2 linked regions of the Mytilus edulis genome follow. The protein of the gene in region 2 purifies or fractionates together with the protein of the main gene of each other region. This does not show direct contact. Links are inferred from orthologs where the notes say so. Each region holds a gene or a part of one and is shown on either strand. Other genes may lie near its edges.

Region 1 (13,796 bases), on a different chromosome or scaffold from region 2:
CTGTTTATTTTTGTCTGAGTTTCCCATATCCTTCTTCTAATCAACTGATTTTGTGTGCAGATCGTCGACTTCTAAGAGGGACGTCATGTGCAGAATATAAATCAAATCTAAGGGATGTTAATTGCTGGAGTAAAATGAAATCTTCGGTATGGAACACTGGTTTTGTATACGCAAAGTATTTATCCCCCGTTTTACCAATTCAACAAATTGACATCATTTAAAATGTTGAAAAGGCCATATGTACACTTATTGATTTTCAGCATTTATGGAGATATTTATAACACAAACACTTGGTTAGTTTTGACTTTTATATTACCCATAATAAAGTCGTCATTATTTATACAACACTGTATATACAATTGTAACATAAAATACTTTATCGGAGCGCTCAGCTTAAATACGTACAAGAATATCACACTCATTCAAATGTTTTGTGAGAAGATATGAAAATAAACAAACTTTAAAATAAAAAGAAGTAATAATATGATGCTTTTACTAAACAGGTAGTAGATTGGTTTTTTTTTTTATATCGTGTACATAAACAGAGTTGATATCATAATAAATGTATGAATGATAATATGCACATTTCAGCGATTCAAAATGCATCAGGTTTTAGTTTAATCAGCACCATAAATAATAACAATAAATTGCTGAACGCTATGACATTGCTTTTCATGAAATATTTAAGGACTACAAATAAAGTCCATTCTCTCGCTCTTCTTCTTGCATCCTTCGCATTCATGTTTCGTTCACTGATACACACACAGCAATAACATTTCATACAAATAAATAAATATCACATTTAACAAATAAATAACAACCAAGTTCCCCTTTTGTCACCGACATCCACAACCTTCTACGACCATATCTTGATAAGCTTTTAGTACTACTTTGTCATGTTCATCAATGTATAACAATGAAATAGGTGATAGTTCTGTTGGTACACAACACGGTTTAGGAACAGACCGTGGATCTATAGAATGAACTAAGTCTTGCACTATTGCATGATTTGTTGCATTTAAATGATCGGCGTATGGCCAATGACATTCGCCGTCACAGAAAAAAGCGTTATAGCCAGAAGGTGCTACTATCCAGTCATTCCAACCTACTTTATCAAAATCTACATATAAAGGTTTTCTACTACATCCATTTTTAAATTTCTTCTTTTTATTTTTCCTATTTTTTCGTTTCTTTTTCTTTTTCTTCTTATTTCTATTTTTATTTGATGCACGTTTAGTCCGGCTTTGTATTTGATCATTTGAATATGTCACTAATATAGGTCTTTGTGAATGCCACTCTGAATCTGATAATGAAACTGATCTCCGTAAACGCACATGTTTAAAATTTTGAAAGGACGGAGACAGTTTGCTGGAACTAATTCGCACTTCTATTCCATGGTTCTGTTTAGGTGTTTTACGCCATTTTAATACTGCTGGGTGAATGTCAAGGGAAACCCATGTTGCATTCTTAGTTTTTACGTGTTTAACATCTACAAGTCGCGTAACTGGATCAACATTTGTGTTTCCCGGTCGCATAATTTCATACACTTCTATTTTGTGTCTAAGTATTTTTCTTCTTGTAATATTATTAGCACTAATGTGTTTATCCAAAAATACTCTAAGTTCTGCTGCAGTTAACACTTCTTCTTCTGGTATATTAGAGATATTAAATTCCATCCTAACACAGCTATCTTCATTACATGATCCGGAATCAGGTTTATCTACAAAAATTATAATAAATAAATTTATCAAACATCAAACTAAGATATTTTGTGATATGCTAAATTACAATAGTTTTTTTTTTATCAAACTGGGTTATTTCTTGTTTAATGTTACCAAATTTTATTGGAATCTGGTATTTATGAGTTGGCTGATTTTAATGTCTACAAGATGAGCCTTTTCAGTTTAAATTTTAACTCATTCAATATACGTGTAGTAAGTTTATATCTGACTACTCTTCCAGTTATATACTCAAAGACTTCATGCATACAGAATGATTTTTTAAACATATATGTGTGTACTAAATTTGCTGGTTAGAGTAATCCTCTATAGATATAGAGATGTTAAACACTTTAAAATATATTTTACTACAATAGTTTTCATTAAACCAGACAGCTTTTTTCTCTAAATTATGGTCAAACCTTTGTTTTATAATACCACATGTTTAAGTTCTGATGGAGTTGTATTGGGAATCCAGTATTTTTGTATTATCAATGTCAATATGAATAGGTTGAGCATTTAGTCGTCTGAATTTGAAATCATTTAAGGACAACTATTCCAAATATAAAAAAAGAGTGAAATGTATCCATTAACTGAAAAATACTTGAGACAAAGTTGTTTTCCATTTTCACTATATTTCCCCCCATCGAGTCTAACATGTTCTAATGTATTTGAATACATACCTGTGTGTACAAAGCTTCTGATCGTATTAGCACTGGCAGCTTTGCTATTTGCAAACTGTAAATTATTTGACGCTGAGATCTGTTGGTTATACAAGTCTATCATATACTGAGGTATTATAATATCGGAACTTGGCTTTGGTCGGCTCTTCAGTCCAAAGATTTGTAGCAATTTTGATTCAAAATTCTGGATGATATTTTGTTTTTCCTTATCATTATAATTTGATAAGGCTTTGTCCAGTAACGAGTTTCCAGTGTCTGATGAATCAACTGTAACAATTCCGTTTACCAAAACGCAAGCAAGAAACAAAAAGGTCCAGAATCCGCAAATCATGATGAAATTGCCTGAAAAGAAGAAAGTACTAATTAGTTTTGAATCATATGTAAGATAAGATTTTAATTATTTTAAAACCCAAACAATAGGATTACTAACATAACAGAAACGTAAAATAAACATATATGTATATATAAACTGGTTAAATGAAAACCACTTATTTTGGACATTTACGTACTTAGGTTAATAGTAACTAGTGTGACCGCCTACAATTACTAATGTCTACCGCAAGTTCAGTTTGTCTCGCAGGTGAATTCCAATGGTAAATGTCATAAAAATCATGTTTCAACATCAAGTAGATTTTACGCTGAAAATTGTACCTCATTTGATTATTGCATTATAAATCCGGAAGAAATGTTATACCATGTAAATATAATAGTAAACGATTTGCTCACGCAATAGTAAACGCTGATATGTAGGGCATAAAGTGCACTATACTGTTAGCAATACATATTAAGAAATGCAAGTCACCCTTCTTTACATAGAACTACATCTGGTATGTGCAATTCATTAATAGACAATATTGGATACATAAAACTTTTATTTCAAAAAGCATAACCATTTGAGTCGGATTTCTTATTTAGTTTATAAGATAATAACGATGTTAGTTTCAAAGACATATTTGTAATGCAAATAGAACAAGGACCGTTTGACATTATGCTATTTATTTTGAAAAAGGTTAAACACTTTATGTATACATATATATAGAAGCACGTTCCATGCTACTCGAAAAGCGAATAAAACATATCGTCAAACAGGTGGCACAAGATAAAAATGTATATTGCAACTTTCAATAATATGATCAATGAAATTATAGTAAAATAAAACTAAACAAATCGACACTAGTTTTAGAATCTCTAACTTGCAAAGAAAGTGTTTCAAATTCCTATGAATCCAATAAATTTGATTATTTTAAAAGGGCAAAGCGATCTTTATTGACTTAACTTTACTAAAGTTTTATCAGTCTATTATCAGACTGTAGAGTAGAAAGTCGTTTTAGCACCGATCCTCAAATCGACAATAAATGAGTTAAAGTATTACATTGTAATTTAGAAGAAAGATAACGTTGTTAACACTAAATCCTTTCATATCATTGTAAGTTCGGCAAAGGCACCTTATCAATAATCACAAACATCACCAACAACTTCAAAACTTTATATCAAAATTCTACGACCAATAAATTAAGGAAAAATCAGTTTATCTGCACTTTTGAATATGTTTTTCTCAAATCATCAGAACTTCCATCATTCAGCAAAAACGGCATTGCTATTATTTCATAAAATAATGAATACAAAAAGAAACTTAACGCGATAGTTTGGTTTTCCACGTTAACATAATTGATATATTTGTTCGGAGTAATTAATATTTGTCTTCTAAGCCTACAGGTGTGTAAACGACATCTAATTTTGATAGAATCACCATGTCTTTAAAAAGATGAATGAAAAAGATTCAATCAAGTCACCACGGAAGATTTCTTTGACTGATAAAATGTGACACAACAAAGATGGAAAATATGTAGAAAATCAACAAGTTGTAGTTTTATTGGAAGGTAACTGATGGATTGGCCATATGATTTATAACCTTAGGCATACTTGTACTATACAGTACAGACTGGAAAATGAATGACGACTAGGTTGGATTTTATTTTATTAGCAAAAATTTATCATTCATAAAGTATGTTTGATTTTTTGTCAAATTTTTTTCACAGACGAATGACATCATTTACAAGTTATGGTTGGCATTTTATTATTATAGACGACAATGAAATATAAAACACGAAAAAATTTAAAACTGTTATTTCTTTGTCGTGGTTCCGGATAAAGAGGATTTCCCATCGTATTACCAAAGAAGTATTATTATTTTGGAAAATGTTGACATTAAAGTAAATTCAATGAGGCGTTTTTAAACAAGACATATTTAAAATATTTTATGTTATGCTATTCCGCTAGTACAGAATTAAATATTTTACGAGTTCATCAATCAATTTTGATATAAAGTAGTAAAGATCCGATTAAATGCGCTATTTTGTTAAGGCAAATCCTTAAGATTTCTAAAGGAAATGATATTGATGTGTAAACCACAGGTGCCAGGCATTTAAAAATGCAAACAATACAGCCTTTTATAACTAGATCCTTAATTTTCCTTTCATCACCGAAAATAAATATACAAGAATATTAAATCCATTTATTAGATGTGTAGTTTGCATAGTTTAGATTAAACCTACTGCTTCGTTCATTTTACGGTTATAGCTTTACTATACAGATATTTAAGTACCCGACTGCGTTAAGTATTTATAACCCTCATTCTAATGGACAATGTCCTAATACTTACACATCCAATGAATTGGAAGACGTGTTGTCCGTCCATTGGTATGTAGTAATAAATATCCACATACACTAGCATAGCTCACATTGTTTTAAATATGTATCCTGAGAAATTAACTCCTCCGCTAACAAGCTACTTAATAAACAATTCTGAACTTCTTATGTTCTCGCATAATCCATTGTAAAATATTAGATGTCTAATCCAAATACTGATAAGAAAACAATTAGCTCAATTTCGAAAATTATTAATCAATGTTCACTATTTATGCACCAAAATATCATAATTTCCTATAAATATACAATTCTTCTTTAATTACGAACTCAAATACACCATTTAAATCACATTCACAAACTTAAGTTCCGATATGTACAATAGTCATTGATTTACATGTTATAACGGATTAGAAAAAATACTTTTTAATCACACTTATTCAACACAGCAGAACACAACTAAATCTGATTGGCAAGTGGGGGAGGTTACCTTTAGTGTACTACAGAATAGCGGCGCTTGCGCAAAAATATGACAGTCATTTTAAAAAGTTGTGACGTCATGTACAGGTAACCTACTAAGTGGAAACAATATAATTCTGTTTTCTTTTCATAATTACAAAATATGCGTTTCCTTCAATGCTCCAAAAGTAAGCTTATCGCTAAATCAGGGAAGTTTATATGAACAAACGGGTTTAAATGTACACTAAAAAATCGCCGGTTCATTCATAAAATACATCTGCAAAGATACTACGTGTTTTTAGATTTCACTTTTAAATGCCTTCACATTAAATAGATCGTATTTCAAAGACGTTTCAAGGGTTCTTTTAAAAAGATTATGTTTCCACTCAATTGGTTAATCGCTAAAAATTTTGTATTCGTTTACTTTAAAGCTGTTTCGAATTAAATTTGTGTCGTTCAAAATTGTTACCATATCTGTATTTAGAAAGCAATTCGTAATTTACAAAGTTAAATAGATGTATATATATACCTATTGTCTTTCTAAACGGTCTTCAATTTCTTGAATATTTAGCAAATTTGTTCAGCACTATGGAATAATTGTTGTAAAAGAATAATTATAATATTTGAATGATTTGAGGGTATTATATACATTATATTTGTTGTTTCTAGTTTGACATGTCTTATGCTCATTCTCTAGCTCGCTCCATAACTGTACAAATATTTTGGTGGTTTATCAAATCATAATTACCGGGTTACCTTAGATTATAATCTAATTTACCTGTAGATTATAGCTAATTGAAAAGATAAGTACTGTGTTATTGTTTGTTATTACGAGTTATGCTCATAATTCTCAGTTAAGGAGTGGGTATACAGATGTTGTTAGGGCGGGCTATCTGTGTTATCAAAACATCTTGATTGAACCATTCTACAGTTTTTCTTATTAAACTTAAATTTAATGAAGAGTGACCATCTGTTTTGTAATTACCACTCCATGAATCTCATAGATAGATAATTACACAAAAAGGTGTTGATTGTAAATAAAAAAGTTCATTCATTTGTTTAATTACCTTTTTGGTTGTTCCTTTGTAAATCTTTTCATTATTTCAACACCCAAATTGTTTCTTTCTTGCACATATTGGTTTTTTTTTCGTTTGTAAATCTTATCATACGACTGTTTAACATTTTGACGTAGTAATGATAACATAGAAAATGAAAGTCGTTTAAAATTCCAGAATGGTAAAATAGATAAATGACATTGACCTCCCAACCCGCTAAGGAAGTGTCTCATTATTATAGCTGTTTGTATTACTAGTACTATGTATCCAAAATCAATTTAAGGCACGTATTAAGATAGACAAAAATTAAGGGATATTTGTCAAATATTTCTTAAATACCGCTGCCGTTATGTTGACATTGTATGTCATCACAAAATTACTTATCTAACCATTAAGTTAAAACGAAAGGAAAAAAAAAGTTGTTTTTACCAATAATGTTTTGATTAATAGGAGTTTATAATTCATAACAAAATATGTATGATCAATATAACTATCACAAATAAAAAAAAAAAAAGAAAAGAAAAGAAAAGATAACCAGTGCCACCTTAAAATTACCTTGGAAAATTTAGATCTTTTTATTCATTTGACAAAAGAGTGCAATTGGGAACCGTGTCAATTTTATACCATTGTGGCAAAATAACGCTTATATTTTGGCTTCACAGTTAAGTTGTTGTCAAATGCGCTGAAAGAAGTGCGGCATGCATATGATTGTTTATATAGTTAAATTCGTAAATGAGCTTTGATTCCTTGTCTGTGTTATTTTTTTACTTGTCATTTTTGCGTTATCAGCTCTTTAACGTTTGTAGTAGATTTTAGACTTTCAAATGCTGTGTTCTCGAGCATCACTGAAGAGATATCAATTGTAGAAATGCTGTGTTCTCGAGCATCACTGAAGAGATATCAATTGTAGAAATGCTGTGTTCTCGAGCATCACTGAAGAGACATCAATTGTAGAAATGCGCATCTGCTAGCCTGCATATAATTGGAACCGTTAATGTTATGACCACATTGTTTATATTTTTACCTGGAAAAGTGCAATTTTCCGTTGGAACAAAGCTACAGCAGCACCATTTTCTGACAAACGTTTTCATACAGATTCAAATTTCATATTTTTGACAGCGTCAAAACATGATGAATGCCACAAATACAACAAAAAACTCAGCACATAACGAAATATTGCACTGCAGTATAGTGCTCCATGAGAGTAATGCTCGTATATACAACAAAACAAAGTAGTACTCTTAAACATAGAAAGTACGCAATAACTAAACTTGCATTTGGGAAGTTATAAACATGTATAAAAGGTTAATTGTACATACTTGTTTTGAGGATTTGTTTGACGTTTAGTTTAGCCTAGATTGGTTCCTGTATTATTCAATTTCCTTTTGAACTTCATTCATGTGTATTGATTAAAAGTGCATGTAAGTGGAATATTATGACACACAACACTTAATTTAGTAACGAAAGAAGAAAAGGCCCACTTTTAACAACAGTGGCAAGATAACATCAAATTATAATCATCTTCTCTAAAAAGTTCGTTTAAAACCTGATTGTTGTACTTGAGTTCGACAAACGTGTAACGCCTCCTGGAGTACAAAAACAGAAAATAATTCCACCCATGTCATTTAATTGAAAAGCTACCAATTTGTTCCTTTTAGTATATACATACAAAATTATTGAAACCAGGTGTTTGACAATGTTAAAATGATAAGGTATTACTTATTTGTGAAAACAATCCATGGGAATGCGTTTGTGACAAGGCAACACAGAAAAAAAGACTGACGGGTACCGCCTCCTGTGTAGAAAATAGGTCGTACACCTGCGCTACTGTTCTGTTAATGGCCATTTAAGTTTGATAAACTGGTCCTTGGTGTTCGTGTCATAGACGAGTTTTAAGTCACAATTTCTATAGCACAATCAATAGGTTTTGCATTTGTTTTTAAGACTTCAATTAACAAAGAAGCAAACAAAGAGCACTACAACATCTGTACAGTATGGGTAAGATTGGATAGTAGTTTTCATTTGGACATGTATACCCTGACGTTAAATATTACGGTGACCGGGTTATACTTATAATGAACCAATTTCATTTTTAAATGCATAATTGGAAAGATGTTACAAAGATTTAACTTCACTTAATTTCTATATCACTTGTCTGTCCGAACATGTGTTTTGAACAAGTTTGGTGTCACAAGCTGTAAAACTGAAGAATTTCAACAATTACCATCTGAATTCAAAGGTTTACTCAATTCAATATTTTATTGAAATTTATTGAAGGATTGATAATATATGTATAATTGAAACATTGAATGGAATTGTAAAAGACTTTTTATAGGTATAAATTTTTAATAAGGTTTGTGACAAACAATCAAATAAAGACAAATTAATGAACGAAATAGTTTAATAACAAAATATAAAAAATAGTTAAATATCACAGTAGCACTTATAAAGTAATTTTCTTTCCATAAGAGTTGACGAGGATATTAATGCGGTCGGACCTATTTACAGCAATTATTAAACCAGTTACAACTTTCTTAAATTATAAATGTTTCAATTTTTACTTGCATGTGAGTAAAATAAATTATATTAACATTTTTTTTTTATTATATCAAGAGTATACGAGGCATATTTTTTTCGCCATGATTCTTCAGAAATTCATATATGTTTTGTTGGTGAATTAATTGATAGTGTAACTGGTAAAATTGACAGGTTAGTAATACTTTTTTGACATAGACATAATTTATTGATTTGGGGACAGGTCATTGTTTTGTACGGTCATCTGTTTTCATTAAAAAAAGGACACACACGTCTGTCATAATTTGTAAATAATTATTCTTAATTGTTTGTAAGTAATAATTTGTTGCCACACCAGAAAACAAAGGATTTTTATGGACTGGTAAATGAAATCTTTCAAAACCCGACACCAGACCCGCGTATTACGAATACGTCGCTCCCTGGTAAGTTCGTGTTTAAATGGCAGCGATATGCTATTTTAACCAAATAGTGAGAAAGGGATACACAATTAACTGGTCTCCGAAATATACTGTTGCTTCCAGATTGCATGTAGAAAGTAATGCATTTCGATTTATTGATATTGATTTTAGTAATATATGGTCAGATTTATCATGAATTTGATCACACAATCTTGCTTTGATATTATATTTCAACCATACATTATTTTAAAAGAGCTGTGTGATCCAGATATAAGAACACCGACATTCATCAAATATGCGTTTATGTAAATAACACATAACTGAGAGGGTGCTAAGACCAGATTGTTACCACGAGAAAAAAATTGTCAACCGAAGCGAGGCCTCCTGTCCAAATTTGAAGAAGCTTCAAATTATTATAATATACGGGAAAAAAATGTATTTACTTAAAAACTATTTAAAACATAAAAAAATATATAAATATAGCCTTTGTATAAGGTCGATACAAGGATATATTGACCTGAAAGAAGTATATTGACTGAGGATGTCATTTAGGTTTGTTGGAATTTTATAGATTGTCTTCTTGACAATAACAACATATTAGTTGCTATTTCATTGACTTTTTTTTTTTTGACATCTTATGTATTTCAAGATTTTTTTCGTCAAATAATCGATCACAGATATCATGTGTTTCAAAACGTTAAACAATATCCTGAAATTCATTACCTGACGTCACAAAGTATATTGGTTTTTAGATATTCTAAAAATAACCGTGCAATATGCTTTTTGCAGGTAAATATGCGTTTTGCTATCCGCCGTTTTCTCTCTACCTTCGAAAATATAGTTTAACATGTGACTATCCCTATACGAATTAATAATATTACGTGGTATGATTGTCAACCTTCCGCCAGAAACCACATGTATCAGTTATATCTAGGAAACTACCCAAGCAAAATGTCAATAGTCGTTTAACTAATATAGGTGTACGTTTATATCTATTGTTGTCGCAATGATTCAATTTCAGCAACAAAACCAAAACGTACACTTATTGAACATCAAAAGAGTTGATAGGGGTATTTTTTTTTTTGCTTGGACATTATCATGCTCGTTTTGGAGATAAGTTACCGTCTGATGATTAAGTAATTCAATTGGAATTATCTGTGTCAATCTTGTAATCGTAAAATTTTACTGTTATGAATCACATTTTAAAGCTGATTTTGCAATGAACCAACGAACATGCACTTGAAAGATATTTCAACGAGATATCGACATCTACTCTGTAAATAATCAAGACATTCTAAATGTACAAATACTGTTAAAATTCATTTTTACTTAATCAACGTTAAAAATGACCGCTCCTCTTATCTGGCCACGTTGACGCATTTTAAAAATTAGATTAGCTGGAAGTAGATCAGTCAAGTTGAGTCAATAAGCTAAACTTTGAGACAGGACGGACAGAAGAACCGACAGATAGTGAGAGGCACATCAATATAAGTTAAAATTGTCATTCGGCCAGAGTTATGGGATCTTGATATCCGAAACCTGAGTATAATTTGAGCAATATACATCAAACTTCATAAAACTATTAGAAACGGCGGTAGACTCCGAAGTCAAGGGCCTGCAATTCGGTGGTTGTCGTTTGTTGCTGTATATCATATTTATTTTTAAAACAAGCCGTGAGTTACTCATATGATTTTTTTTACAACTGCTATTTTTGGATTCTTTCATAGCTGGCTATGTGGTATCGGTTGTAGTCATTGTCGAAGGCCGTACGGTGAACACGTGTTTCTCAGTGACTTCAGTTTTCCTAGAACGTTTAATTATATCTTTACAAAATGTAAGGTTTGATAAACACAATTCAAAGTGATGCAGTCAGGTTGTTTCAAAATATTCAGTGAATTCGGAGTATTTTAGGACTGCACTTGATTATTAAACTATTAATATAATTCAAATAACTCAACATACTTATAACGACTTCAGAAGACGGGCGCTGCAGCAAGTCCCTTCTATTATAATTTCTAACGTAATCTTCATGACAAATTTGTCAAAACGAGACTACTTTTCCTTTCTTACTCAAAATAATTTCTTGTTCCTTCGTAGAAATGTTCCGCTGTTCCTTCTAAATAGCGCATACTTTTTTTGTTGTTCCAGAAGTATCTTCTACGACGTATATAGCAGTAATATAGATATATATATATATATATATATATATATAGATTATAACATGGTGGTTTTTTTTTTTTATATCAGACTCTTATCAGTCCTCAGATGTCATGATATCAGCCCGAGAGCCGACAGGCTCCAGGGGTGATTTTGACCATGGGCTGATAAGGGGTCTGATATAAACAAAAAATGACATGTTAATATGTTTTTTTTATCACATACTTCAACAGAAGACATACAGACAAACACTATTTTTAAAACTTTGAAAAAAATGCTTTTATTGTAATATTTGTTTTGCTTTTTTCAATAATAATTTCCTGATTCCTAAAATATATATTCTTTTTATCCAACTTTGTTATGTTTTACACATAAAATAACCGGAACAATTGAGGGATATTTTCTGGAATTTGCCGATTGAATTCGTATTGCCATGTGATAACGTTACAGCAAAGCATGGGATGATAACTGGAAGCAGCTGATATAAACCGGAAGCAGTTGATAACAAAAGTCATATTTCATGGCTAAGGCAATTCTTCGAATTTAATGAATAAATACATGTATACATAAGTTTTATCATGGGGTACAATTATACTTTTATTTTCTTTACGTATATGATAAAAATGTTTATGACAATGCAGTGTGAAATCTATTGCGAACATGCTACTGTAACTGATAATATGAAACAGGTGTTACCTGTGAAAGGGAACGAAGTCCGTATCAATTACATTTTTTAAAATTCTATCATATTTTCATGTTCTAAAAGAAACAGAAATACTGAAACGTTTCCAGTGTTGTTTCTGTTGTTTTTCATAATCTCATGACAAACGAGACCGGAAGTAAGAATGAAAGAGATTTCTGCGCAAATTTGGGAAAATGAAAAAGTTTACGATTTTGAGTTTATTAGTACATTGTAAATTATATATATTTTAATTATTTTTATTGATTTTTCTACTATTATAGGGGTCTTCGTCCCGTTATTAAAGCATGGAACGGCATGATTTCATATCAGCAGATTGAGCATGATCTTGTTTTTTACAGCTTGTTTCTTGTATATATGTGTTTTGCAATATGTTTATTCTATACCGGTATCAAATTAGTACATTTCTGTACAGAATTTAATTGTTCGTTGTTGTGCATGTACGCTTAGGTTTTTTTTTTTTTTTTCACTCTGCGAGGTTACGCGTCTGGCACAATAAATTTCATGATAATTCTGGTATCTATGATGAGTTTATTTAAAAGGGGAATAGTTAACATTTATATGTTAAAACGTCTAAATTGAAAAATCTTGTTAGTGGTTGTATTTTAAGATATATTAATTAATGTGATAATATTTTTTTTGTTATTTCTTCTTTTCATTTAGGGAATTTTGCATTAATTTCAGGTCCTCGATTGCCCGCTCTTATATTTGATTCACAACATATCTAAGCTTGGGTGATATAGATCATCGCATATGGTTAAGACACTTGTCTATTGTTGATGACAGTGTCTTATCATCTGAATGTCTTTACTTAAATTTTTGTGTAGTTGGGTTGCTGTCTTATTGACATTTAAGCTATAGACATTTTCTTAATAACTATTTTATATTACCCACACACACAGTTATGCTACAGTAAGGTTGAAGATATGCAAGTAATCCTTTTGGACGTATGGGCAATATAGGCAAAATAGTAGGGTTGTGTGCATGAAAAACTGTATTAGCGAAACCGCATTTCGTGATTTCACAAATTCACGCTATCAGAACAACGCATTTATGTGATGCTATTTCTTTGTACGTCTATTTTCTCGGAGGATCGGTTGATTTTGGCTTAATTGTCTGTAATGTTTTTGTAGAGAGGTATAATAAAGGTTTGTTAAAATATAGAATTTGAGTAATACTAGCAAATCATTTTCGTACACCAAAAGTATATACCATTAATATAGTTAAGAAAGCTGATTTACGCTTGATAAAATATGTTTGAAAAAATATAATCCTTCACCATACACCATTAGCGTTAAAAAATCTATTTAGGTTTAGAAGTCGATTTCACAAAAAAAAAAAACTTACGACTTAGATTGACTCTGGACACCGCCTTCGGTTGCCGGTTTTTCTTGCTGCGTTGAATACTAATTATTGACTTTTGGTTGTTTTGTCCTCTTTTGTAC
Region 2 (13,572 bases):
CTTGGATAAAACAAAAATTATACGAAAATTTTTAATATGTACGACCAAAACTTTGGTCTACTGGAACTGTCAAATTTTTGTAATAACTGAGAGAATACAATGTATATATAATGAAGTTTAATGGAAACCTTGTTTGAAGACAGAAGACTGGTGAAAGGAAGGTTTGTAAAAATTGACACTTTTTGTAAAAATTATAGAAAGAAAAAACTGTTGATTAAAAAATTGACCATTTATTTTTAATAGATACAAAAATATAGCTCTTATTAAATGCGTCTGGATAATTTAAAGAAAAAAAATGTGGTCTTTTTTTCCTGTTGTATAATTATTTATTTTTTTAAGTAATTAAACAAATGAGTTGTCTCCCCTAATGGGATTATAATTTAAAAACTGAATCCTGTGTTTGTAAAACAATCCTTGTGATAAGATCAAATTCAACCATTTTATTAGCTTTAATGAAAATTCTAACAGATGAATTACGTTTCTGTCCAAAATCCTTTTCTTATTAAACATTTAGACTAGTCGATTTCTACCATTGTACAATCCAAGATGGCGGAAGACTTAGATGGTACCTTAAAAGGGATAAACATGTACAATCGGTCAACACAGACAAGAAATACAATGTGAAGACATATAACCATGCAGATAAGTATGATCTTAAGCTTGGACAAAGGATAAATCGGAAGGTAAATCATCAAAGGCACAGGGTAAACTAAAAGGGAAAAATTTCAAAAGAGACAACCATTGTAAACTAAAAGGGAAAAATTTCAAAAGAGACAACCATTGTACATATCTGTTATCGATGCAAGGAGATTTAAGTCAAATATTAATCATTAAACAAATATAACTCAAAGGCAACGTCAATCAACTGTAACAGGTTCCTGGCTAAGAACAGGCTTCTTCTTCCTTTGGTCTCCGGTGGATTATGTTGTCTCGTTGGTAATCATATATACATATATACCTACTTATTTTGATATTTCATATTATACCAAAAGTGAACAGACATCTTTCTAACCTATCTTTGTAATATTTATGAATACATATAAGTAACCAAACGTAAGAAAATGATGTCAAACTTATTATGAAGGGGGCGGCGAAGAGCTTGTTTAACAAGAGTGCGTTTTATATAGATATAAGATTTGATATCTTTCGGAGTGCTAATGAGAAAACTCTCCATTAAAGTCACAATTTGTAAAATTAAACCATTATATAGGTCAAAGTAGTTGTCTACAACACAGAGCCTTGGCGCACACCGAACAGCAAGCTATAAAGGGCCCAAAAGTTTACTAGTGTAAAACCATTCAAACGGGGGAAAACAACGGTCTATAGATATACATTTTGTAAGACGATGTGGTATGAGTGTCAAACAGACCATCTATATAAAATATGAGAAACATTTATGAACCAATTCAACAAACGACAACCACTGAACATCAGGTTCCTGATTAAGGACAAGTGCAAACAATATGGTATATTTGAGTACAATTTTAGATCGATGATGAGGTTAAGCTGAATAATAGCTTTATCTTATAATTTATCCTGTAATTGATTACAAAACGATTACCTTGAGACAATTTACTTTAAACAAATCAAATATTTAAGGCATCGTCACAGATTTTCACAGATTCTTTATTTCTTCAGACGGCCATTTATCATTCTGAAAAATGCTTGAGATATATGCAACTGGAGGCTAAGCAAACATGCAGCAATTAATTAATTAATTTTTCGGGTGGTCATTGGCATTTTGAGAAGTATATAAAAACAACATAAACGAAGCAGATTTAAATGAAAAGGACGAATCTATGCCTATTAATTACGACTTTTATACAATTTGTAATAATGTAATTTTTTTCAGAGTGCAAGAATCTTTGAAAGATTAAGAAAAATACGAAACACGTCAGACCCTATCGATCTAAAGATATACAATCGCAAGTCCGCTTGTAAATGTTAAATCATAAAACAGTCGCAGATTCAGAGTGCACGTGTACACTCTCCCCTTTTTTCATCCTTTTTTTCTCAAATAAAAAAATGAAAAGTTACAGCAGTATTTGTGTCAAAATAACTTCTCTAATGTCTCAATCACGTGTAATCTCTATATCATCCATTCCAATCGTACCCTGGATTCGGGCCTGTAAAGCTCTTTAAATTGCACTGCAAATACTTCGTGATAACCTTCTAGCGAAAGTATTTCTTACTGTAACTAATTATTCTGTAGAAATGAGGTTTTATTCAAGGCCAAGTCTTTATAGAATTAGTCTATAGTAAACAATTATTCGTTGTAGGTCAGAAGTTTTTCTTAATTAAAGAAAGAACAAAGAGAAAATATCCATGTAAAAATGCTTTTCCTGTTATCAGATGTACACTTTTAATAAAACTTCCTTTGCGTTTTAAGATCAAAACGAGAAAAAAAGAGAACATATGGCCAGTTCCACAGCCAATTATGTCAAATCATACATCTGTAAATGCATAAAACAAGATTGATTGATAGTTGGTGTTTAACGCCACTTTCAGCCCTATTGGCTTTATCATCGCGATTGAATTTAACTGGAAGGGGGGGGGGGGGGGCGAAGTGTTAAGAGAGAAATACCGACCGTCGGCAGGAGAACTTGCTATCTTAGTCAATTATAAGATTGGAGTAGAACGCATCAATGAACACATTCCCAATTCCATAGCTTATTATGTCAAATCATACACCTTTAATTATATACAGCTAGATTGATTGATTGATATATGCTTAACGCCACTTTCAGCCCAATTGGCAAGTTTTTTCGTGTCAATCAGATTTTACTGGTGGATCGGGAAGCCGATGTGCCAAGAGAGAAACACCCACTTTCGGAAGGGGAAACTGGCAATCTTAGTCAATTAAAATTTGAGTAGAACCTTTTGGGGCGGGTCGAACTCACAATCTCAGTGCCGACAAGCTTGTGATACAGTAGTTAACTATTTAGACCTCTCGGCCACACCAAATGTATACTGTACAAAAACAAAGTTATGATATTCTCATAATGTTTAATATGGAGATCCGGTCAATCAACACGCTCTTGCAATACTTCGATGGATGGTCATTTGTTATTGTTTCATTCAGATAATTTCATCACTCATCTCATTTTCAAAACTTTCTAATTTTTAGGGGGGGGGGGGAAACAAACAATAAAATTGTTATCTGCAAGAAATCTTAAAGATCAGAGACCCGGTTTGAAAATTGTTTCATTGTCTACACAATGAATAAATAAAAATCACAGGGACTGACCAAAATTGGATGTCAACACTGAAATCCTTATAAGGACCAAACAACACTTACTAGTTGAAAAGAAAAAATTTGGTGATATTCATATCTTGGGAGATACACGTGTGAAGGGCCGGGTTATTATTGTTTTTTCTTTAATTAAAAATCACTACTAATACAACTCTAGCTCCCAGTAAAAAAAACTAAACGTTTTTTATTGTACGGCAACCTTGGCTGTTCGCTACTCAGTTTCAAAATTACAAACTTTTCAAAACTTTTTTTTAAAAATTGATAGTATGAAAATAAAGTTACAAAAAAGCAGAAAAAAAATGAAAGATTCGTGAGCATGCTTTCGAGATATAAGCCATTAAAAATTTGGCGGGTAATGTTTTTCTCTGAATTTTTCATACATTTATCATTGTCACTTTTTCCCTGTCAAAAACTATGAAAAAGTAAAAAGGATTTTATAAGATTTTCAATTTGTCTTTTAAAACTATTTGCAATGGAAAAAAAGTAGGGGTTTGAAGGCAAAGTTTTTCAACGGAATTACATGGATAAAACCAGAGGGTTCCGAATATCTGGCAAAAATTTAAAAAAAAAAAGGAGCGAACATCCTTAATGAAGTTCAGAAAGGAAATTTTACCACAATTGTCTCTAAGATTTTCCCCGTTTCGATCCCACTGCTCGATAAGATTACAGTGACGAGATTTATCGTATTGAATTGATCCCTTATACTTTTTAATGGAACCAAATTGATCATCATTAACAAAAAGAAAATGCTTCCGCGTATTCTTTTTCTAGAGTATGTAATAAATTGAACCAAATGTCTGTGGGTGATCAGATGATGAAATTAGTTCTGTCAGATTGTGACTTCTGGGTAATCCTTTCAACTGTTGTGTTCAATATGGGTATTTTTCTTCAGCTAAGCAATTTAATATGATATATATACACATCTCTCTTCGTAACAAAAGGATGGTACCTAAAATTTACAATTATGATTCCATTCCAATATTATTTTTTTAACTTGGTTTATAGTAATCCCGATTTTAAATTATTAACAACATTCTCAATGATATTACTGGTACTAATACATTACTTTGACTTTTAAGCGATAATTAGAAAAGGGTCCAACTTATGGGACGATCATGTGATTTCTAGGGTCGAGGAGGATTTTGAAAATGAATGGTCTGGACCGATAAAGGCTGTAAATAAATAACTTTTCATAACAAAGAATAAAAATGAATATTATGCAATAAAAAATACAAAAAACAGTAGCTATCGTGTGCAAAAGTCAATCCGCAAAAAAACCGCCTCCTCCCTTCTCCTCCCCCCACTGGAGATATGGTTATGTCCTTTGTATTAAATTCTAATTGTTATTATCAATATAAGATTGAATTACACCTAGAGAGAATTATTTCCCTCCAAATTTTCAACGGCTTATATCTCGAAATCAAGCACACAGACCCTCAATTTTTTTCTGCTTTTTTTGTTTCTTTATTTAATATATACTTTCAATTTATATCAGTCTTTTAAAAAGCTTGTTATTTTTAACAGAGTAGCGAACATCCTTAATAGCGACTTGGAGAAATGGTTATGAATAAAGTATAAAAATGATTACTCCCTTGCATTACTTTTCTTGTCATATTTATCTTGTTTACCCTAAAACAATCTAGATTATCTTTAACAGAAAGATTAAAAATAGATATAGGAGAATTATAAACATCAACGAGACAGTTAAAACATAATTAAACGGTAAACAAATGATTTAGTTATCAAAATCTTAGTACAATAGAGGAAATACATTTTATAGAAATATGAATTTAAGAAAAGAGATATATGGGGATATACGTCATGCTGAGTCTAGACAACAAACTTACAATATAACAAAACAAAACCCATCTAGTTGTCTATATTAATAAGACCGTATTCATTAGTGAATGTACAAAAGATTGAAAGATGAAGAAAATGTCTTATGTGAAGGTCGTCTTTTGACCTATAAAGATTTACTTTTACAAATTGTGACTTGGATGAACAGTTGTTTCATTGGCTCCCATACCATATCTTTTAATGTCTATATAATTTTTATTCCAAAATTATATTCTATTTGAAAAAATGTAGTGGAAGATTTTGATTTTTTGGGGAGGGGAGGAGGGGCGACAAATGACTTATAACATCCGTGTAAAAATTGAACATACCTCACCTGGATGAAAATGAATAATTTGTCCAACAAATTCAGAAACTAATATGCTCACAGCAGTTGAGTCTTAAAAGAAGAATATAAGCATTCTGTCACAGCCCCCATCCCAAGATATCATCAAATCGTCCCCTAAATTTTAAGTCTGTTGAAAAAAAAACCTAACAAATTATATAACATATGTATATAAAAATCTAAGACGATTTCGGTAACGCCAAGAAAAATTGAACTGAAATTATAAATCAACCGTGCTGTACCATCAGATTTATAGTTCATAATTTGAAATGAAAAGAAATTTTATTCCGAAAAAAAAATCTACTTTATATTTGAGAAATGAAAGTTGAGCAGTTTTAACATTTACTAGGCCCAAACCAAAGTAACCCATTGAAGAGAGAGTCTGTACACACATTTTAATTTACTTGAGAACATTCTGTTAATGCAGTAATAATGTTGAGAACATATTTAAATTGTCAATCAATATACTAAATAATTATATCAACTAAACGAAATTACGAGGCTTTTGATATATGATCAGGGGTCGTAAGTGCATTTTTTGCAATCAAATAATTTAGAATCGCATTTGTTCAACACAAAACGTAATGTAATGGCTTAAAATTTATATCAAACTGGTAGAAAAAAGCGGAAACGATATAGACGTTAATTTTTTTTATATGATTATAATTTTTTTGAAAAAGTCTTACATTAAAATGTATTATCGCAATTGAATTATTTAAGATAACTGTAGAAATTTTCTATTAGAAATTTTTGGTTAAAAAAATGAATTTCAGTGTCATAATCTAGCTTCGACTGGTATCTTATGTATTGTGGTTCCATGTATAAAGAAAAACAATAATACTACAAGAAAGATATTATAATTAAAACTTACATATGGAACCCATCAAGATTATTAAAACTGATCATATAGGTTAATAACCCTTAGCAATTACCCCGATTTTTTTCTCTTCAATAAGTTGAAAAAACTTCTTCAAAATAACTGCATAAGAAAACAAATTCATAGAAACATGTATATTTTTTTCTTTAAAATATAAAATAGCGTCTTACCTGGTTGATAATTTTCCTTCTCCTTGATTTCTGGTTCGGGACGTAGTGCCGAAAATCTTATTTCAGCAGCTACGACCAGGTGTGCAAACCCAGCTAGTAATAAAATCTCTCTAAATAAATCAAACATGTGTTCAAATCTACTTCAATCTTATAATAAATAGAGAAAATATCCAATTTCTATTGAAATCTACACGAACTTATTCACCACTTGACGATTTTTATTCATCAAATCGATCTTTTTCTTTGTAATTTTACGTGACAAACAAGAATATTTCTTAATTCTTCGTAACTAATTTTTATTTCTATTTAGTTTTCACAAATTGAATGTTTTTTAAGATTTGATGAAGCGCTCTATCATATATATTTATCAGAGTTTGTATTGATAAACCATGATACCCACGTTGATTGGTTAAGAATAAAAAGGTCGCAAGTTTGAATGAATAGAAAACGCAAAAATGGGAGGATTTTTATATCAAACATTGCATAGAGAAGTGTAACTTCCAAACACCTACAGTTAAGTTTTTCGGTAAACACTCTCGCGTAGTGACTAAACCCTACGCTCATTCAATTCTTCTCTAGGTGCTAAAATTGGTAAACATTCACTATTATATCCTATGTGGAATGAAGTCATGATATTAAGTAGTTAACGATAAAAGATAAATAAATTTTGATTTTAGGTGTTAAAGGTTAATCCACTTCAAACAATACAGACGTATCGAGTCTGTGGGCTATTTGTTAATAAAATGATTACTTTTCGCAATTGGAAAGATTAAATGTTTCTAACTACATATCATTATCAAGATAAGAATGGCGGTGTTTTAATTGATTTCCTGCTGAGGAATGTGGCATGATGGTTTATTAAAATAAAGTTAATGGCTTGATGGGTTGTTCGACTACTAGAGGACTTAATTTTGAAAGCTACTGTTTTTTCTTTGTAACTATTACATGTATGACATGTAGTTTTATACGCTTCAAAATTAAATCAAAAATATTTAAGTCGACTAAATATTATGGCATAGTGGTTATACAAAAGAATTGATGGTTTTGTTACATGTTTTACTTCTATATAGATATAGGAAGATGTGGTATGAGTGCCCATGAGACAACTCTGCATTCATGTAACAATTTAAAAAAGTATAAATTAAATAACTTAGTATTGTACTGCTACTACTTTTTCTTTGTAACTATTACATGTAGTTAATTCGCTTCAAAATTCGGAAATATTAAAGTCCACTAAATATTTTGGCATAATGGTTATACAAAAAGATTTGATGGTTTGGGAGATGTTTTACTACTATATAACTTAACATTGTACTGCTACTGTTTTTTCTTTGTAACTATGACATGTAGTAGTTTTATAAGAATAAAATTAGCATATTCTCTGATTCTTGAACGTGAAGCTTAATGAAAAGGGTGTCTACATGTATACTATAAATGCTAAAATAATGTGGCATGATGGTTTATTAAAATAAAGTTAATGGCTTAATGGGTTGTTCGACTTCGATATGACTTAAGGTGGTACCTAACACTACAGGGAGATAACTCTGTGATATCAGCTAAACGTTTTAATTACGTTGTGTTGTTAAGGGAATATTAAGCTTTTCAATGATCAAAATAAGTATTTGTCAAACTGCTATATAACCAGTGTAATTTTTCTGATTAAACGGTTGGTTCAAATTTTTTGAAATTTTTATATTTTTGTTAAAGGGTCAAAGTAAATACTTTGTCAAATTTTTATGGAAATTAAACGAGCCAAATTAATTTTAGTGAAAGTGTTGGGTACCACCTTAATCTTGTACTGCTACTGGTTTTTTTTCTTTGTAACTATTACATGTTATTTTATATTCATTCACTGGTTCATGAATGTGTAGCTAAAACAAAATATGTTATCTGGCATTTTCTAAAAATTCTCTTCAAATAGATTATATTTAAGTCGACTAAATATTTTGGCAAAATGGTTATTCAAAAAGATTTAATTGCTAGATGACTTTTTTCCCCTACTATAAGATTTACATACACAGCTACTTTTGCATAGGTACTATTTCTGTACTAAAAGTCTGTTGTACTGGAAATTTACTTTTAATATTCAGTACTATTTTGTTACTTTAAAATTATTGTAATATTTAGGTACCTCTATTTAACAGTACTTTATTTATACTGGAAATTTAGGTACTACAGATTTGTGGTTACCACCGTTACATTTTCAGCATTTTGAAAGTTTTTCTATTTAAAATCTCTTAAAATCATGATTTTCAAACATGGAATATTGTATTATTTCTGTACCAAAATATTTAGTACAAATCAAGTTCTGTAAAATACAAGTACCTAAATATTTAGTACAAATCAAGTTCTGTAAAATACAAGTGCCTAAATATCACAATAATTTTAAAGTAAAGAAATAGTACTAAATACTAAAAGTAAATTTCCAGTACTACATATTTTTAGTACAGAATTAGTACCTATGCAAAAGTAGCTGTGTATGTAACTTTGTACTGCTATTCCTCATTCTGTGTGACAATGACAAGTATTTTTATAGAATAAAGGTCATTTATTCACTGATTCTAAGGCTTTTCTACCTCAAGCATATATTACCTAAGCTGTATTTCGCATAACTTTTAGGAATATTGGTCCTTAATGCTCTTCACCTTCGTACTTTATTTGGCCTTTTTAACTTTTTTGGATTCGAGCGTCACTGATGAGTCTTTTGTAGACGAAACCGTGCGTCTCGCGTTTATACAAAATTTAGTCCTGGTATCTATGATTAGTTTATCCATGAACATGTAGCTTAAAGATATGTATAAGTATATTTTGTTCAACCTAACAGATGTTCCACTAGAAACTTTGTTATAAACAATGTCATGATATACATTCCTGTTAAAACAACATTTCTATACAATGTATTCTGTTAGGAACATATACTCTAATATTTATTCAAGAGGAGATAATATTCCAGAATACTTTTTCATTTGGAACTTACATGTATGTTATGATGAAACTTCTATTTCGCATGCTATCTATCATTTACTATAAGTGCGCTTTAAAATCGAAAATACTAAAGTCCACAGTGACCACTAAATATTTGGCTTAATGGATATTTAAAAAGAGTTAATTGATGGGTTGTTCAACCACTATGTATCTTAATCTTGAACTGCTACTGTTATTTTCTCTGTAACTATGACATGTAGTTTTATAAAAATAAAAATTATCCATTCACTGATTCATGACTGATGTGTAGCTTTAAGGAAAAGGAAATAGATATAAAAAGTTGTGGTATGAGAGCCAAGTCACAATTTGTAAAAGTAAACCATGATAGGTCAAAGTATGTGAATTAACTTCAACACAGAGCCTTCATCTTTGCAAACATTTACTTTAAATTTTGAAAAAATAAAAACTAACATTTATAAAACATAGAATAGATCTGTTTTCTGGTTGATGGGTTGATTGGCTACTATTTGACTTAAAATTCTTGCAGTGCTACTGAAGTTCATGAACGTATAGCTTAAAAGGGGGAGCCTATAGCTACATGTATGCATGGAAGTGTAATATTGAAGTTCCATGATGTATGCAAACATGTTTTGAAATAGAAATTTGTTTCTTCATTTAAGTTCCAATTGGGCGAAATATCCTGTAACATTTTTTTCCACTGAAACAAATATTCAGTATTCGTCCCTGCTAACGGAATACATTGACATTACTGTAAAGCGGAACAAATGTACAACGTTGACAAGCAATAAGTTGAACTATTTAAAAACAACTTCAAAATTTTTTATTATGAAGCAACGTTTTTAATGTGTAACATGGGGTAAAAAGATATATAGGAAGATGTGATGTGAGTGCCAATGAGACAACTCTCCATCCAAATAACAATTTATAAAAGTAAACCATTATAACCATTATGTAAATGTACATTTATACAATAACAAATACTATAAACATGAATTTTAATAAATAAGTTTCAAATTGGAAATCTTTACGTTAACTTAACACTTTGCTACCAAAACATTGCGCTATTTTGAAAGATTTCTTTGTTATCATAAAAAAATATATGTGTCAAAGTTGACACATTTTTATTTATGGGCCTACTAAAGCCCACCTCCGGGTGCGGAATTTTTGCTGTGTTGAAGACCCTTTGATGACCTTCATGCGCGTAGCTACGTTTACGTCAAAACGCCCGGGCGTACACTTGAATTTTGAAAATAAAACAAATAATCGACATAGAATAAGATAAACTGGTCAAAAGCACATCAGCCTTGTGCTTCTTCTTTTTTTGGATTGCAATTTTGAATAAAAAGGGACTAAATTTATTCAAATAGATCATTTAATCAATTTGTTCGAATCTTTTGTAAAAGTCTGAATCTACTATGAATTCTACGTCTTTTTCTTATATTTAAAGCAATTCACTATCTGATCAGATTCGATATGCTGTTTGTATTTTTGTCGAGCCTGTGATTTATGTCCCAAAAGCGAGACAAAGCGACGTCAATATTTAGGTTCCGAATGTGGATAAATTCTTTTAAATGACTCTCCGTGAAATTTTACGAAAGTTGGACAGAAACTGTTTATGATCAAAAGAGTATTCAGAGCAATATAATAATGCAATTATATCTTTAATTTTCTCGCATTTTAAGGACAAAATGTATTTCTTTCTGCAATTAATAAATGGTCGCAGTTTGGGCTTACATTTTGTAATTTCTCAATTACCATAACTACTTGTCGAACCTTCATCGAATTTTATGAAAATGCCGAAGAAGCTTTTTCTATGACTAATGTCTAAAACTAAAATTTTGAAAGCATTTGTTTTCGTTCATTTTTCTGTTCTTTTCTGATAGACAGATAGCCGGACTCTTCTTTACGCTATTAATTGTTTTACATGCTCAATTTATAAACCTTCATAGATTGTCGTGAAATATTCCAGATCAAGAAAAAATTATCAAAAGAAAATTTAAGATTTTTTTTAAATCCCTTTAAAGAACTGATAAATTGATTCACTTTTTTGGGGAAGAAATCCTAGATGTTCCAGAATTTTTTATATTGAACCTCTTAGAAGTATTTTTTTTCGTGTTCATTAAAAGGTGCTTTTGTCGATTGTATGCTCACTCACGGCACCCTTTAAACTTATTTAAAAGTTATATTGGTTTAGACGTGTTCTCTAAAACAAATGACCATTAGGCTAGCTTCCAGTTTAACACGATGAATAAGTTAACATATTACAAAATTTAACCAAAACAAATAAACCATTTAGATTCAAAAGTACAGTCATGTATGTTGCTATCAATGAATTTTTACTGACAGGAATCATTACGGTATCTTATTCTCGATAGCTTTCGGGGGCTTCGTCCCATTCGAACCAACTACCAGCATGTGCTTCAACATTGAGCGGTTGGCACCCCTCATATCCCTCGCTAAGGTTCGGGCGTACACGTAAAAATGACCCAGCTACGCCACTGACCTTCTGCTGATTTCTGCTCTACAATGTATGGTCGGATTGTTGTCCACTTTTTGAAATATTTTCTATTTCCATCTTCAATTTTGATTAAAGTTTACATTCAATTTTTTATGTAAATTTCTTGAAATGTAGTGAATGAAATGAATTTAATGTTGACTTTTTCGACGTTTTTGGTTTGGGTTCGTATATCTAAAGTTTAGTTTTCTGTTCTGTGTTTTATTTGTTTTTTTTATAACTTTTGGTCATTATATAATAAGAACATTTAAATGAACCCGCATATAATGAGAAAATTAAAATTCAAATAAGGTCGAAAGTCATAATATTGAATAACAGCCATGGAATATATAAAAAATATATATATATAAATCAGTAAAATCTTGTCATATATTATAAAATAGTTAAATATTACAGCTGTTATCCATTCGTTTGATGTGTTTGAGCTTTTGATTTTTCCATTTGAATGGGGACTTTCCGTTTTGAATTTTCCTCGGAGGTCAGTATATTTGTGATTTTACTTTTTTTCTATATACGAAAATGGAAGCATATCAGCCATAATGGGGTTGTATAGAACACAGGGAAAAAAATAATATGTATATTCCTAAGATTTGATTTCTGCTTCGTTCGCCTGATACCATTAATGCGGTTATAATAATAACAACTTTATTGTTTAGAATTAAACTTAGTTTATTTCATGTATACTACTGTAACTAAAGAAATGTTAATTTCAACTGAATCTAGTTACTTATTCAGACAATTTGTTGATAATAGATTTATTTGCTGGCATGTCAGTTAACTGCTAGTAGTCTGTTGTTATTTATGTATTATTGTCATATTTTGTTTATTTTCTTTGGTTACATCTTCTGACATCAGACTCGGACTTCTCTTGAACTGAATTTTAATGTGCGTATTGTTATGCGTTTACTTTTCTACATTGGTTAGAGGTATAGGGGGAGGGTTGAGATCTCACAAACATGTTTAACCCCGCCGCATTTTTGTGCCTGTCCCAAGTCAGGAGCCTCTGGCCTTTGTTAGTCTTGTATTATTTTAATTTTAGTTTCTTGTGTACAATTTGGAAATTAGTATGGCGTTCATTATCACTGGACTAGTATATATTTGTTTAGGGGCCAGCTGAAGGACGCCTTCTAGTGCGGGAATTTCTCGCTACATTGAAGACCTGTTGGTGACCCTCTGCTGTTGTTTTTTATTTGGTCGGGTTGTTGTCTCTTTGACCCATTCCCCATTTCCATTCTCAATTTTATTTATCTATTTTAAGGATTCAGCAATATCCAGGAGATTTATTCAAATTAAAGAAAATTATGAAAAGAAAAGCTGACAGCTTTATTCATATTGAAAAAAGGGGGAAATTATGATAGGGATGAATGTTGACATTTAGAGAAACAGAAATTGTTTAGAAAGTTATTTGCAAGTGTATATTCTTGGAACTAACAAACAGTTACCAACACATTGAGGTATAATAGTAAGAAGGTAATAATCTCACTGTGTTTATCAACATTATAACACCGATGACAATGGGCAGATGGAATTGTATTAAAATAATAAATAAAATTTGTCGCTGGACGTCAAGTAGCAATTGATGAATCAAATCAATGTATTGGGGTTTTTTCTCTCTCCACTTTAACAGTCCAC

Evidence for each region.
Region 1: the proteins of chordin-like (region 2) and bone morphogenetic protein 2-like purify together in Drosophila melanogaster (affinity purification with western blotting; 4 studies listed by BioGRID). This does not show direct contact. The link is inferred for Mytilus edulis from reciprocal best matches to the Drosophila melanogaster genes sog and dpp.

Annotation. Positions count from the first base shown.
Region 1 is NC_092346.1:21,886,951-21,900,746, reverse strand, and holds bone morphogenetic protein 2-like, read right to left. Parts: upstream 5,757-13,796; 5' UTR 5,068-5,756; coding exon 5,064-5,067; intron 2,744-5,063; coding exon 2,402-2,743; intron 1,721-2,401; coding exon 837-1,720; 3' UTR 295-836; downstream 1-294. UniProt on the Drosophila melanogaster protein: Required during oogenesis for eggshell patterning and dorsal/ventral patterning of the embryo.
Region 2 is NC_092356.1:31,117,039-31,130,610, reverse strand, and holds the start of chordin-like, read right to left. Parts: upstream 7,117-13,572; 5' UTR 6,607-7,116; coding exon 6,480-6,606; intron 1-6,479. UniProt on the Drosophila melanogaster protein: Putative negative growth factor. Antagonist of dpp, a protein involved in patterning the dorsal region and in the development of the neuroectoderm; dpp inhibition is enhanced by tsg.